3 linked regions of the Oryctolagus cuniculus genome follow. The protein of the gene in region 1 interacts with the protein of each later gene in a pairwise test. Links are inferred from orthologs where the notes say so. Each region holds a gene or a part of one and is shown in the gene's direction. Other genes may lie near its edges.

Region 1 (4,472 bases):
TAAAATGCACCATGATCTCCTCCTCATCCCTCAGCAACTTTTTGTTTTTAAGGAAAGACTAGGGAGGAGCCAAGTCTAGCAGTGAGAAGTAGAATGAAGTACAGAGGTGCTCAGGACAGCTCTGCTCACAGCCTGTATGAGACTGGGCAGCTGGTGGTGTCATCCAGAGGGTGCTGTGGACTGCTGTAAGGAGAGCCGTCTGGTCTGTGACCACGTGGCAGCGCCAAGTAATCATTTTCTCCAGTAAGGAGAAGGAAATTAATTTAAGAGATAGTCCAAAGTATGTTCTTGTTAAGTACGCAGTATAGGGGTCTGGGTTACAGTGTCATGTCTCACCTAGGAAAAATTTTCAATTAAAGGAGAATAATGCAATATTTGTATGTATCTTACTTGGTGACATTTAGTTTTAAAAGTTTTCTGCTTTTCACATTTTCATTAAAATATGATTTTAAAAAAGGCCTGTTATTCGTACCAAATACAGCAAAACTTACGTTCTGTCAGCTTACAACTTCTGGCTCTGGTAATCTCAGAGCAGTGCTACACAAAGCATGGGCAGGGAACTGCAATAGCCGCTAGAGTTTTGGTACTTTTGCAGACTCTGAGCTCTGCCAAGACCTCCTGACTCACAACTTGAACCGCTACTATCACCTGCTCTGGGAAATGTGTGTGCACTTTGTAAACTGCTACCAGTGTCCCACCAGTGCCCTTTGCTGGGACAGGACTTTAGGGTCCCCAGTAGCCCCAAGGAAAACAGCTAAGTCTTCCCTCTGTGGAAGAAACCTGCTTTGGGAAAGAAAAGAGAGAAGTTTCGGTACCTCGTGGGTAATTCTCATGCAATCACGAGAATAATGAGAGAATGAAATCTTGATAGTTTCCTGTATCTCAATGAGCCTTGAAAATTGCATGCATTTGTAAAATGAAGGTAGTAGCTGTATTTTTTATTTTTTGCCGTCCCCTAGGACACAGTGGATAAAAATTAACAAGGACAGAGACGTTTGGTTAGTTAGTAGGTACCGAGCTTGTAGTTTGCACCTGGACCTATACTTTGCACATAGCCCTGTGTGCATAGCTTGGAATACACAAACAGGAGGAGCCACTGGTGAAAGTCAGAGCCAGTCCCAGTCCAATGGGTGAGAGACACCTATCATAGTAGCCGCAATGGTTGCTGGGACTGATGTGACAGGTGGTGGTCCTGTCGGCCTCTATTGAGCACGTACAAGCTGGACTGTGAGCAACTCTGCAACGCAACAGTTCTCAGTATGGTTTGAATTCTCTGTTCCCCCTCCAGTCATGACTCAGAGGAGAAACGTGCGGTGGACAGGGCACAACCCCTTTATTGCAGGAGTGGGGTGGAGGTGGAGATGGGGGTGGGCGTGGCCGTAGACGTTGCCGGGATGCATCTGCGAGTGGGCGGTGCTGAAGACCGTTGCTTACCCGACAATTTCTTTCCCGCCACAAACTCGCGGCTCATTCCGTACAGTGGCGGCGGCAGAGTGGCCACGCTGCACGGGCGCTGTGGCCTGGAGGCATTCCCAGAAGGTAAGGAGCTGGGTTTGGGCACAAAAGGGAACCAAGGTTACAACAGATTCCCTCCAATGATCCTGGTTGACCTCCATGAGGTCCCAGGGGCCAGTGGCCTTAGATTCCCCTGGAAGCAGAATCCTAGGGGTCCCTGATATTTCCAGTTATCATGAGTGGCCTCAGAACTTTAGGAGGGCCCATTCTACCCCAAACCTGCCCAGACGTAGCAGTAAGGACAACTGGTTCTGGCCCTTATCCTTGAGGGAAAGTGGCTTTGGCCATTCCTGTTCTAGCCTCTAGCTACCTCTGCTGACTAGATGTGTCCCTGCTCAGAGTAGTGGAAAGGGTGTGTGAGGTTAGGAGTGAATGGGACAGCCTGATGGGTACAGGAGGTTAAAGATAATGAGGTGGGGGAAAGGAGTACAGGGAAATGGAAGTGAGGAACTTGGGTGGGTGCAGGACGTGCACATGAATGGCGGAGTGTATGACACTCGGATGGACACAGAGTTTGGCGGTTCAGTGGCTCTTGGTGAAAGTGGCTTTTGGCGCCAGAAATGGCGCTTGCGCAAGACGCAGTTTGCCGGTTCAGTGGATCTTCAGAGGTTGGCTTTTGGCGCCAGGAATGGCGCTTGCGTGGACGCAGAGTTTGGCGCCAGAGGTGGGGCTTACGTGGACGCAGAGTTAGACGGCAGGGGTGGGGCTTGCGTGGACGCAGAGTGTTGCGCCGGGGTGGGACTTGCGTGGACGCAGAGTTTGACGGCAGGGGTGGGGCTTGCGTGGACGCAGAGTGTTGCGCCGGGGTGGGGCTTGCGTGGACGCAGAGTTTGACGGCAGAGGTGGGACTTGCATGGACGTAGAGTGTTGCACCAGAGATGGAACTTGCGTGGACGCAGAGTTTGACGGCAGGGGTGGGGCTTGCGTGGACGCAGAGTTTGGCACCAGAGGTGGGGCTTACGTGGACGCAGAGTTAGACGGCAGGGGTGGGGCTTGCGTGGACGCAGAGTGTTGCGCCGGGGTGGGACTTGCGTGGACGCAGAGTTTGACGGCAGGGGTGGGGCTTGCGTGGACGCAGAGTGTTGCGCCGGGGTGGGACTTGCGTGGACGCAGAGTTTGGCGCCAGAGGTGGGGCTTGCGTGGACGCAGAGTTTGACGGCAGGGGTGGAGCTTGTGTGGACGCAGAGTGTTGCGCCGGGGTGGGGCTTGCGTGGACGCAGAGTTTGACGGCAGAGGTGGGACTTGCATGGACGTAGAGTGTTGCACCAGAGATGGAACTTGCGTGGACGCAGAGTTTGACGGCAGGGGTGGGGCTTGCGTGGACGCAGATTAGACGGCAGGGGTGGGGCTTGCGTGGACGCAGATTAGACGGCAGAGGTGGGGCTTGCGTGGACGCAGAGTTTGACGGCAGAGGTGGGACTTGCATGGACGTAGAGTGTTGCACCAGAGATGGAGCTTGCATGGACGCAGAGTGTTGCGCCGGGGTGGGACTTGTGTGGACGCAGAGTTTGGCGCCAGAGGTGGGGCTTACGTGGACGCAGAGTTAGACGGCAGGGGTGGGGCTTGCATGGACGCAGAGTGTTGCGCCGGGGTGGGACTTGCGTGGACGCAGAGTTTGGCGCCAGAGGTGGGGCTTACGTGGACGCAGAGTTAGACGGCAGGGGTGGGGCTTGCGTGGACGCAGAGTGTTGCGCCGGGGTGGGACTTGCGTGGACGCAGAGTTTGACGGCAGGGGTGGGGCTTGCGTGGACACAGAGTGTTGCGCCGGGGTGGGGCTTGCGTGGACGCAGAGTTTGACGGCAGAGGTGGGACTTGCATGGACGTAGAGTGTTGCACCAGAGATGGAACTTGCGTGGACGCAGAGTTTGACGGCAGGGGTGGGGCTTGCGTGGACGCAGAGTTTGGCACCAGAGGTGGGGCTTACGTGGACGCAGAGTTAGACGGCAGGGGTGGGGCTTGCGTGGACGCAGAGTTTGGTGCAAGGAGTGGGGCTTGCGTGGACGCAGTTACATGGCAGGCGTGAGGCTTAGGTGGATGCAGAGCTTGGCCTTGGGGGTGTGGCTTGAGTGGAGGTGGGATTTGGGGCTTGGTGGGTGGGATTTTTCCCTGGGGGTGGAGCAGCAGTTTCTTGTATTCGTGAGCAGATTCAAAATTGGCACATCCTGAGCAGGGCATTTGGGACGTAACCACAGTGAAATACCTCTGCCTTGCTTTGGACAGATCCAGTGAAGGGATCCTGATCCATCTAACCTGGTTCGGGAACTGCCTGACAGGACAGAGCTGGAGAGCAAGCTGAGTGCCTGATTACATCAGAATCACAAACTCTACACGGCCAGTGGAATCCACACTGCCAAGTCGTCAAGTAAGTTATTTTGGAAGGTGAGCCTCTGTGACCCTGGCAAAGGACAAGGGGACAAAGGCTGCCTTCCAGGATCCACACACTCTGCAGGGTAGGGCCACACCTAGGGTGACAGTTGTCTGTTTCCTGCAGCGGGACAGTGGGAACCCTTCGTTGGGTCCCTTTTCTGCCCCTAATTCTAGCTGCTACACAATATGAAACCTTAAGCACTTGTTTTTTCAGCACTCAGTCCTTGCTGCTCACCTCACCCCCATCTCCCCTTCACTCTCCCAGCTCCCTTGCTGCTAGGACATTTCCATTGGCTGGAGGATAGTGACATCACCTGTTGCTCTTCAAGTGCCTTCACCTTACCACATGACACAGCCCTGTGCTAGAAACCCATGGTCCATGCTGTTCTCAGTAAGCATAGTAACACTGTAGTTTCTGCACCTACCATTCTCAGATTGCACAGAGCTCTGGCCACCTTTGTCTTCTGTGGGACATTTTCTGAGAAAGAGAACAGCTCCCAGTCTCCTGCCAGCCTTTACCCCAGCAAAGAGATTTCCAGGTCATCTAGACCCACACAAATCCTCTTCTGACAGGCAGCCTTTTTTTTTTT
Region 2 (4,636 bases), on another chromosome or scaffold:
TCTTTACAAAGTGCCTGAAGTTTATAAGATATCTCCGTTTTAAGAAAAAGGACATAACTTTTAATTGTTTCCCAAAGCATACAATAATGCAATTTCACTATAAGAGCGACCAGCACAAGATGAAAAGTACCAGGAGGAAACTTCTATAAAGACCAAAGTGACCAAACATTTCTCAAATAAACCTCCTGGTGTGTGTGTGGGGGGGGGGGGGGGGGCAACATATTGTAGCTAAAAATTAAAAATCTACGGAAATTCCCCCGCATTTATATCCCGAATGATTTCCTCCCCTTTGGGCCAGGTTAACAGCAAAGGCTTAGCCGGCCAGGGAAGCACAGGCCTGCACGCAGGTGCTCCTCCACCCCTGCACAGCAGAAAGGGAAATGGTTTTGTGAACGCGCACAGAGACTCTTAAAAAAACAGGCCGGGGGGGGGGGGCGCGTCTTCTCCAGAGCCTGGCAGAAGGGGAGACGCAGGAAACCCTGCAGAAACCGAACAGCGTTCAAGCGCAATCAGAACACAAGGTCACGAGTAAGTGGCTGTGCTGCGCTCACGCCCGCTGCGCTCCCAGTCCCGTCTCTCTTGACAGTGCAGGCCATCCTGCTCCGTTCTCCGACAGCAATGACAACGTGGCCCCAGCTCCTGCTGCAGGCTGCGCTGCCCGCGCGCCCCCGGCCACGCGTCTTTCTCGGGACGAAGCCTCCCGCTAGCTCCCAAAGGCATTCACGCTGTCAAGACCCGGCCAAGGGCCTCAAAGGACAAGCTTGAAGCTCTGAGCACGTGACAGCCAGCCTCACCTTTTCCTGTCTCAATTCTCATTTTCTCCCGACCAGACCCATTTGCAATGACACAACTTTAGAGAATCAACGGAAGATGCTTTTCTCCGCTTCTCCCTCCCTCTCTGCCTTTCAAATCAATAAAATGAACCTTAAAAAAAAAGTTTCATAGACTTGAGTTCTCCCGTTTCAAAGACGACCGCGATCGCGTTTGAAGTTGGTCCCCAGCACCGCCATCCCTCACCCAATCCGCTTCAAAGCGCCAGAAGCTGCCGGAGTCCAAGTTACCTCGGAGAGCTCGCTCGGACCGCTCCTCGGGCGTGAGCGTCCCGGGGGGGACTGCTCCAGTGCGGAGCCTGCCACGCGGGAAGCCCCCTCGGCGACCCCGGCCCGCTCCGGCGCCCACGAGCCATCGCCGCCTCTGCCCCGCAGGCTGCCCGCCCGCGAACGGGCGGCCGGGGTCGGAGCCGTGCCTGCGCGCACCGCGCCCGGGCCCCGCACAACTTCGCGGCGAGCGCCCACCGCGGGAGCGCTCCGGGCACACAACCCCAGACCTACCCACTTCTACGGAACAAGCAGCATGTGTTGCCGGCGCGAGGGGGTGGGAAAAGCGCGCAGCAAGAATCCGCCGCCTCCTCCCTCGGAGCGCGCCCGAGTCGGCGGCCGCGGCCTCCGGGACGCTTCCCCTCCCACCCGCCCGGGAGCCGCAGCTGGGAGTTGAGAAGCGGGCTCCGGGCACGTCAATCACCCGCGCCCTCCCGCCTCCACCTCCCCTCCCCCCCCCTCCAAAAAACACAGGCGCAGGGGAGAGAAGGTAACTAATTTGGGAACCACGTCTCCACCGGGGGGCTTCGCCCTCCGACCCCAGAGGCGGCGCGCCCCGCAGCCCCCGCCGCAGGCCCGGCAGCCGCCCGCCGCCCGGCGTTCCTCCCCGCGCGTCCGGCTCCCCCGCACCGGCCGCCCCGCACTCCGGCCCCGGCCCCGCGCGGCCCGGGCCAAAGTTGCGCAAATAGCCCCACCGCTGGCAAATACTCACCGGCCGCAGCGGGAACCGGGGCTGCGGAGGTTTTAGGGAGTTTAAGGCAGATCGGCCGCGGGGAAAGGCGGGCGGAGGCCGCGGGCCGCGGGCTGCAGTGGCGGCGACGCGCGGCGCTCGGGCTGGCTGCGCGGAGACTCCGGCGCTGCCAGGGGCTGTGCTGCAACAAAGGACTTCCGCTGCCGCACAGCCGCGCCCGCCGCACCGCACTGAGCCGGCCCCGCTTACGCGGCGACTCCGGGTCTGCCCACCAGCTCGCTGCGGCGTCCGCCAGGCCTTCCCCTCCCTCCCGCCCGCCCACCCACTCCGCCGCCGGCTGCTAGGGGCACCCGCGGTCGCCTGTTTGCTGCAACAAGTTTCTGCGTCGGGCTCCGGGGAGGCTGGCACGACCCGCACCGCGGCGCGGCCCGGCCACCCGCGCGCCCCTCTTCCCGAGGGCAGGGCTCGGGACCTCCTCCTCCTGTTTGCACAGCTGGCCGGGCCCGGGCTCCTCCCGACTCGCGAGGGCGGGATGCTGCGGCCCCCGCGCCCGTCCAGACGTCAGAGCCCGGCTCCGCAGCGCCCGGAGGCCGGGGGCGTCCCGGGGGCGCCGGTCCCCGCGCCCCGGGCTGGCCGCGCGGGGGGCCCGCGCCCGCCCCCGGCCCTGCCTGAGTCACTCCCCCGCCGTGCCCCGCCCGGGCTCCCGCGGCCAGGCCGCCCCGGCCCCGCGCCCTCACCCCTGTCGCGCGGCGGACACGCGGGCGCATCCTCCCCCACCCCGACCCCGAGCTGACGGGTGCCCGTGCTTTTGCACACCCTGGGGAAAGTCCCCGGGTCACGCGGTTGTGTGTGTGGGGGGCGGCCGTGACGCGCACACGCGGCCCCACGCTTCCGCCTACAGTCACGACCGCCGGCCGCGCCGGCGCCCGGAGCGCGGGCCGACCCCCGCCCGGCCTCTCCGGCAGGCGGGCGGGCAGGCGCGCGCGCACGTACGCACGCACGCACTCCGCGGCGCCCCTCGCGGCCCCGCGGCCGGGCGCAGGGTCACGTGGGCCCAGCGCCCGGGCGGCCGGCGCGGGAAGCCGCGCGAGAGCGGGCCGCGGCGGTGCGTGAGCTGGCGCCACCGCGTGCCTTGCGTGGCGCGGGAGCCCGCCCCTCCCGCACGGCGGAGCCGGCCCGCCGGCGCGGCGGCGTCTGGGTAAGCGACGCGGCCCTGCCCCTGCCCCTGCCCCTGCCCCTGCCCCTGCCCCTGCGGGCCGCCCCGGGGCTCAGGCCGTCCCGCCGCGAGCCAGCGGGGGCGGCCTGCGAGCCGCGCGGGTCGCGGGACGGTGCGAGGAGCCGGGGCGAGAGGGGGTGCTCGGGGTCCGTTTGAGATGCCTGCCGGGGGCCGAGCAAGGCCGGAGTCGCCCCTCGCCGCCCGCGCGGGAGGCCGGGGCCGCGGGGCTGACCTTTCCTGGGCCGTGAGGACGCTGCGGCCGCCGCCCCTCCCCCGCCCACCGCACAGGAAGCTGCCCCCACGCCGTCGCTGGTCTCGCCCTGAAGCCGGCCCAGCGCTTCTTTCTGAAGCGGGTCGGCTTCCCCCCGCCGCTTTGCCTGGCACGCGTGGCTGTCAGTAGCCGCTCAGGCGACCCACGGCCACCCGCGCCCGCGGGCGACGGCTCCCGTTTGGCCGGCTTTTTTCCGGAGCCGCGAGTCCGTTTGGCCGAGGTGGTGTTTCTCCCGCGGGATTCCCACTTCGGAGTTGAGAGGGGGCGTGTGGAAAATCCGGGTTGTCCCCGTGGTTTTGCAGACGAAGGCCCCTGCGGGATGGAGGGGCCGCTGCGCGCTGCCTGGTCCTAGACTCGGCCACGCCAGTTACCCCACTCCGCGCCGGGGTGGCGTCTGCCGGAGGATCACTGGGCTTGGGAAGTCAGCCGTGGTCCCTGCGTGCTGGCCTTGGCCTTCGCATACTGATAGCATCCGTGTCCAGGCGGGAGGTGCTTGAGAGCCTGAAGCCCCTTCCCCTACCCCCGCCCTCCCCAGATTCAGCCCGATTCGCTGCCAGAATAACGTTTGCAGTGTAGTTTAATTCCTTAGGATAAAGGCTTGGAAGCTGTCTTTTGCAATCTGGATATGTGTTCGCTTGAAAGAGTTACAGAGAGAGAGAGTGCTTCCATCCGCTGGTTCATTCCCCAAACGGCCACAACGGCCAGGCTGAAGCCAGGAGCTTCTTCCGGGTCTCTCACATGGGTGCAGGCGCCCCAGGACTCAGGCCACCTGCTGCTGCTCTCCCAGGCACATTAGCCAGGAGCTGGATGAGAAGTGGGGCAGCCGGACTCGAACCTGCACCCACAGTGGGATGCTGGTGTCGCAGGTGGCGGCTTTGCCTGTCAGCCACAACGCTGGCCCCTGTGGATGTGGATGTGTTTAAATTGAGGGTACATTAGGAGTCGGTTGTCAGGCATCACCGGGGATAGGTTAGATCTGAGGACTGGGCGTAGTCGGAATGCAGTGAAACATCAAGCTGGGGTGAGCTAGGAAGCAGGGAGGGGCCCCACGTGACCTGCCCTATCTTTTTTTGCCCAGATCTACCCGGAATGTCTGGTTTGGTGGTAGTGGAGGTGGATCCAGTTTGGCTGCTGTTCATTGAGTACCTACTATGAGCTACTGGTGATTTCTAATTCTTCCCAAAACGGAGGTGGTCCTGTGTCCGTGGTCAGACGTGTTAGCAGCGGGAAGAGACAGGCCGAGAGGGATTTACCTGGCTGCAGTGCGGCAGGCGTTAGCAGCAGAGTTTAAGACAAGATCACTTATCTCCCGAGTCCAGCCAGCACTGGCTTGCAGTGTATCTCGCTCCCACTTGAAGCCG
Region 3 (4,592 bases), on another chromosome or scaffold:
AGATAGGAAGTCCTCAAGTATTCAACTTGTGAAAAGTCAATGGGCTAGGGATGGAGACAATCAGCCACCTCAACCATCCTCTGTTGGAACAAAAATTACTGTGGATGGAGTGTACTTTCTATTTCTCCCCAGTCCACAAAATCTCAAAAAGAGCACAAGGGGCTGGCATTGTGGCATAGCAGGTTGAGCCGTGGTCTGCAGCGCCAGCATCCCATATGGACACCGGTTTGAGTCCTGGCTGCTCCACTTCCAATCCAGCTCCCTGCTAATGCACCTTGTAAAGCAGTGGAAGATGGCCCAAGTGCTTGGGTTCCTGTACCCGCACGGGAGACCAGGAAGAAGCTCCTGGCTCCTGCCTTCAGATCAGCCCAGCTCCGACCATTTTGGCCATTTGGGAAGTGACACCCAGTGGATGGAAGATATCAAGATCTCTCTCTCTTCTCTCTGTAACTCTGCCTTTCAAATAAATAAACAAATCTTAAAAAAAAAAAAAGCACAAAGCGCAGACAAAACATTTCAAAGAGTTTAAAATGCTAATATTAAATTTCATTCTGAGACAAAATTAGATTGAGAACAAATTCAAGGGTGAAAGATTTACAATAGATTAAGAAGGGAAATTAAGGATAAGTGTGTGGGGGTACACCCGCATCTTGGTGATTCACATCATGGAGATACACGATATGCTCTAAAGAAATGGGGTACTTGGTCATGTGGATTGGATGGACGCAACCACATTCCCTAAACACGTCTGTCAGTCAGTATCTAGGCTTTCACTGTCAGAAAGTGAGAGTTACGGATTAAAACAGGATTCGATCCTTGGCGTTTCATTCACAGCACAAATCCTTTAAAAGTATTCAGTCAACAGAGGAGGGAGACTCCTGAACCCACTGTCACATGTTGAACAGTTAGGGAGCGTGGGTTAACTGAGTCCTTCATAGGGAGAAAAAAAAAAAAAAAAACTCCGGACCTAAACGGAACCGGAACGAGGAAGGGGTGGCTATCACCGAAGTGTCACTGAGTTGGGTGTCGTTAAAAATGGGTCACAACCAACAAGGTCAAAGATTTATGTTTATAAATACACACTATGGCCCTCCTTACAAATAATAGCAGACTCCGGGATCTCATTTCCCCAGAAGAAAACAGCCCCCGTGCCTCCTTCCCGTGGGTCGCTTTCTTTACCTGCTTCTTCCCTCTCGTGGGTAGGAACTTTCTGCCCCGCCTCCCGGCTCGCTCAAGCTCCGCCTTCCCGGCCCACCTGGGTGCCCAGCCCCTGACGTTACCGTTCGGCTTCAGCATCCTACAGGATTCCGGCTCCCGATTGGCCCGTCTGTTCACGGCTGGCGCAGCCCACCAATGGCAGCTGCGCTGGGTGGGCGGGTGCCCACATCCAAGATGGCGCCCCCAGGAGCTGGGAGCGGGTGACCGGCGACGGGGAAGCGGCCTGGGTTGGCCCTCAGATTGCGGGGTCTCGGGGGCGTCTCGTCGGGCACCCCCTGACCCACCTACAAGGCCTTCCCCGGGCCAGAGCAATGGCCGCCGAGAACAGCAAGCAGTTTTGGAAGAGGAGCGCCAAGCTGCCGGGGAGGTGAGCCCAGGACGCTGAGAGGGAGCCGGGATTGGACCAAACCCTTCCAAATCCTAATCCCTAAATCTTGCGACTGATGTGGGGACCCCAGGACCGAGCAGTCAGGGCTGCCTGGTAGCGGCAGGGCGGCTGTCAGGCAGAGGAGCGGGGACGGCTGGGTGTGAGGTACAGACCGGGGTCTGAGGGCGGAGGTCTCAGGAGAGGTGACCTCAGCTGGGGGGTGGCCGACGACCGGGCACAGGGGGCAGAGGAGTTGAGGGAGAACCCCGTGTCGCCCCCGGGGCTTGGGGGGCCATTCCCAGAGCCACTTCCCACTTTGAAGAGAACTCCTCGGGGGTCTCCAGCATGCACAGGTGGTTGCTTACTCGAGGGTGGCCCCTTCCTTGGCTCCCCCAGCTCCTCAGGTGCAAATCTTCTCCCAAAGGGTTCTGGTGGGAGCTTGGGGCCGCCTGCGAGGAAAGGGGTCGGGGCGGGGGGTGGGGGTCCAGGAAAAGTGAGAGCAGTTCTGCAGCCTGACCCCACTTTATCTTGAGTTGACCCTTTCCCGTCAAGGATTTCTTACAGGGAGACCACAGAGTCGGTGTTTTTCTCTAGCATTTTCTAGGGATTTGTCCAACTCCAAGTGACCTCTTCCCCCCACCCCCTGCATTGTAATGGTCTTCTTGTGCACACACACTGAATTCTTTCATTCTTCAGTGGTTTCGTGGAGGGCAGACCTTCTAAGCGATTTTTTTTTTTTTCCATTTTGGCATGTGTTGAGACTTTTTAGCAGTTGTCCATCCCCCAATCTGCCGTTAGTTGACAGTTTGGGTTGTTTTGGGCTGAGTCCTTAGAAGTCTAAGGAGGAAAGTGTGTTTCAATTGTGAATTTAAGATTTCTGCCAGCCACAGTCCAGTTGGTGATGAAATTCACGTTTGGCTGTGCCCTCCCCTGCCACCTTTCCTAATTGATTCAGTTCTTTTCTTTCTGGGATAATTGGTAATTCTTTGAACTTATGACTGAGTATTTTCCTCTAAAGCAAAGAGAAATGAACAGTCCGTAGTGTCTTGGCAGTCTTACCTTATTTAGGATCCTATTAAACATATGGGAAATGGAGTGGGGATCAGCTTTTAGTAATACATATTAATAGAAGGCAATGCAAAGACAGCCTCAGATTAACATGGAAATTACACTGGAATGACTGTTAATATCGTGTTAAAGATGTTGTGTGTCTTTAGATAAGCATCGCTTCCTGCCACCTGATTTCTTTTCCTTCCTGATCTAGTGAACTCTCCAGTTATGCTAAATGCTGTTCTCTGGGGTTTTCCATCATGAGATCATTAAATTTTGATGTCCTAAGGTTATAATGAGACTCAGCAGGAAAACTGTTCCAACAGGAAGCAGTGCAGGAGATGAGGGACATGGCATGGTCCTTTGTGCCTTCTGACACTGGTTGCTGTTCACTGGCTTCTGTTTAATACTGAAACAGTCAACTTTTCTAAAGCACTATGTGAGATAGGAAGAGGAGTCTTTTTTTTTTTTTTTAAAGAAAGATTTTATTCATTTATTTATTTGAGAGGTAGAGTTACAGACCGAAAGAGGGAGAGACAGAGAGAGAGGTCTTCCATCCACTGGTTCACTCCCCAAATGGCCGCAACAACTTGGAGCTGAGCTGATCTGAAGCCAGGAGCCTGGAGCTTCTTCCAGGTCTGCCACGTGGGCGCAGGGGCCCAAGCACTTGGGCTCTGGGAGAGGAGTCTTCATTTCTTCAAGTGTCTGACTCTTCCATTTTGAAGAATACAGAAGGGAAGAGGAGAGAACCTTAGGGTTTAAAAAGCCTTGGCTCATTATTTGAACTCTCTTACCTGTGTGTCAAAGACAAATGATTGACATCCAGGCCTCTGTTTCCTTATCTGTGAAATGAGAAATAAAAATACTTCCCTCAGGGTTCCTGGGATTACTAATAAAATACCCTATTTGTAAAGAACCTAGGACCGTTTATTTAACACATTATAGTTGCTCAGTATTGCTGTTTCTAGAGCAAGTAATTGTTGAAAAGAATATTGCTCAGATCCCTTACCCCAGCCCTAGTTCAAGTCTTCATTCTTTGTTCTAACCATAAAATACTGGCACAATTCATACTAGCTTTTAGTACTTTGATTGTTGAAGAGAAATATGGTTCAGCTGTGTGCCTTTATCTGCGAGGCCCCAGGAGCTCCTGATTATGGGAGAAAACTACCCAGGCATCTTGTAGATGGAAAGGTGCCTTGATGAAAGGAAAATGTTAGAGCATTTTCTCAATATAACTTTTTTTTTTTAAGATTTATGTATTTATTTGAAAGTCAGAGTTACACATAGAGAGAAGGAGAGGCAGAGAGAGAGAGAGGTTCTCCATCCTCTGGTTCCCTCCCTCAGTTGGCCACAACTGCCGGAGCTGCACTATCTTAAGCCAGGAGCTTCTTCCAGGTCTCCCACTTGGGTGCAGGGGCCCAAAAACGTGGGCCATCTTCTACTGCCTTCCCAGGCCACAACAGAGAGCTGGATTGCAAGTGGAGCAGTCGGGACTTGAACCAACGTCCATATGGGATGCCAGCACTGCAGACAGCGGCTTTACCTGCCACAACATAGTGCCGGCCCCCAATATATCTTTTGACTCTTCACTTGATCTTAGCCAAAAAGCCAAGAAGGGATTTTTTGGTTCTTTCAGTTTTAGCGAAGAAAAACTTTGTCTTGGGTAGAGTAAGGACTGTGTACTAGGTTCATGGCAACCTATATGTGAAACCAGTGTCTTTTTTGCAAATAAAAGGTAAAAAAAATCAAAGTGATGGCAGGTTACTTTCAGTTTCTTTGATCATGATCCAGCAATAACAAATAGGAATTTTATTAAATAAAACAGCCTAAGTTGAAAACAAATGAAACATTCTTTTTTAAAACAACAGCTTTGGGGCAGCCATTTGGCCTAGCAGTTAAGAGGCCACCTAAGACTTCTGCATGCCGTATGGGAGTGCCTGAGTTCAGTGCCTGCCTG

The links. The genes of interacting proteins can lie anywhere in the genome.
Region 2: the proteins of PNMA5 (region 1) and ZBTB25 interact in binary tests that used the Homo sapiens proteins (3 or more experiments, as listed by UniProt). The two-hybrid records come from large-scale screens. The link is inferred for Oryctolagus cuniculus from reciprocal best matches to the Homo sapiens genes PNMA5 and ZBTB25.
Region 3: the proteins of PNMA5 (region 1) and TBC1D22B interact in binary tests that used the Homo sapiens proteins (3 or more experiments, as listed by UniProt). The link is inferred for Oryctolagus cuniculus from reciprocal best matches to the Homo sapiens genes PNMA5 and TBC1D22B.

Annotation. Positions count from the first base shown.
Region 1 is NC_091453.1:131,406,023-131,410,494, reverse strand, and holds the start of PNMA5 (paraneoplastic antigen-like protein 5), read left to right. Parts: upstream 1-1,411; 5' UTR 1,412-1,539; intron 1,540-3,735; 5' UTR 3,736-3,877; intron 3,878-4,472.
Region 2 is NC_091451.1:5,938,958-5,943,593, forward strand, and holds the start of ZBTB25 (zinc finger and BTB domain-containing protein 25), read left to right. Parts: upstream 1-1,494; 5' UTR 1,495-1,587; intron 1,588-1,809; exon of another isoform or gene 1,810-2,053; intron 2,054-2,525; exon of another isoform or gene 2,526-2,738; intron 2,739-2,798; exon of another isoform or gene 2,799-2,986; intron 2,987-3,011; exon of another isoform or gene 3,012-3,495; intron 3,496-4,636. UniProt on the Homo sapiens protein: May be involved in transcriptional regulation.
Region 3 is NC_091436.1:132,390,318-132,394,909, reverse strand, and holds the start of TBC1D22B (TBC1 domain family member 22B), read left to right. Parts: upstream 1-1,450; 5' UTR 1,451-1,529; coding exon 1,530-1,585; intron 1,586-4,592. UniProt on the Homo sapiens protein: May act as a GTPase-activating protein for Rab family protein(s).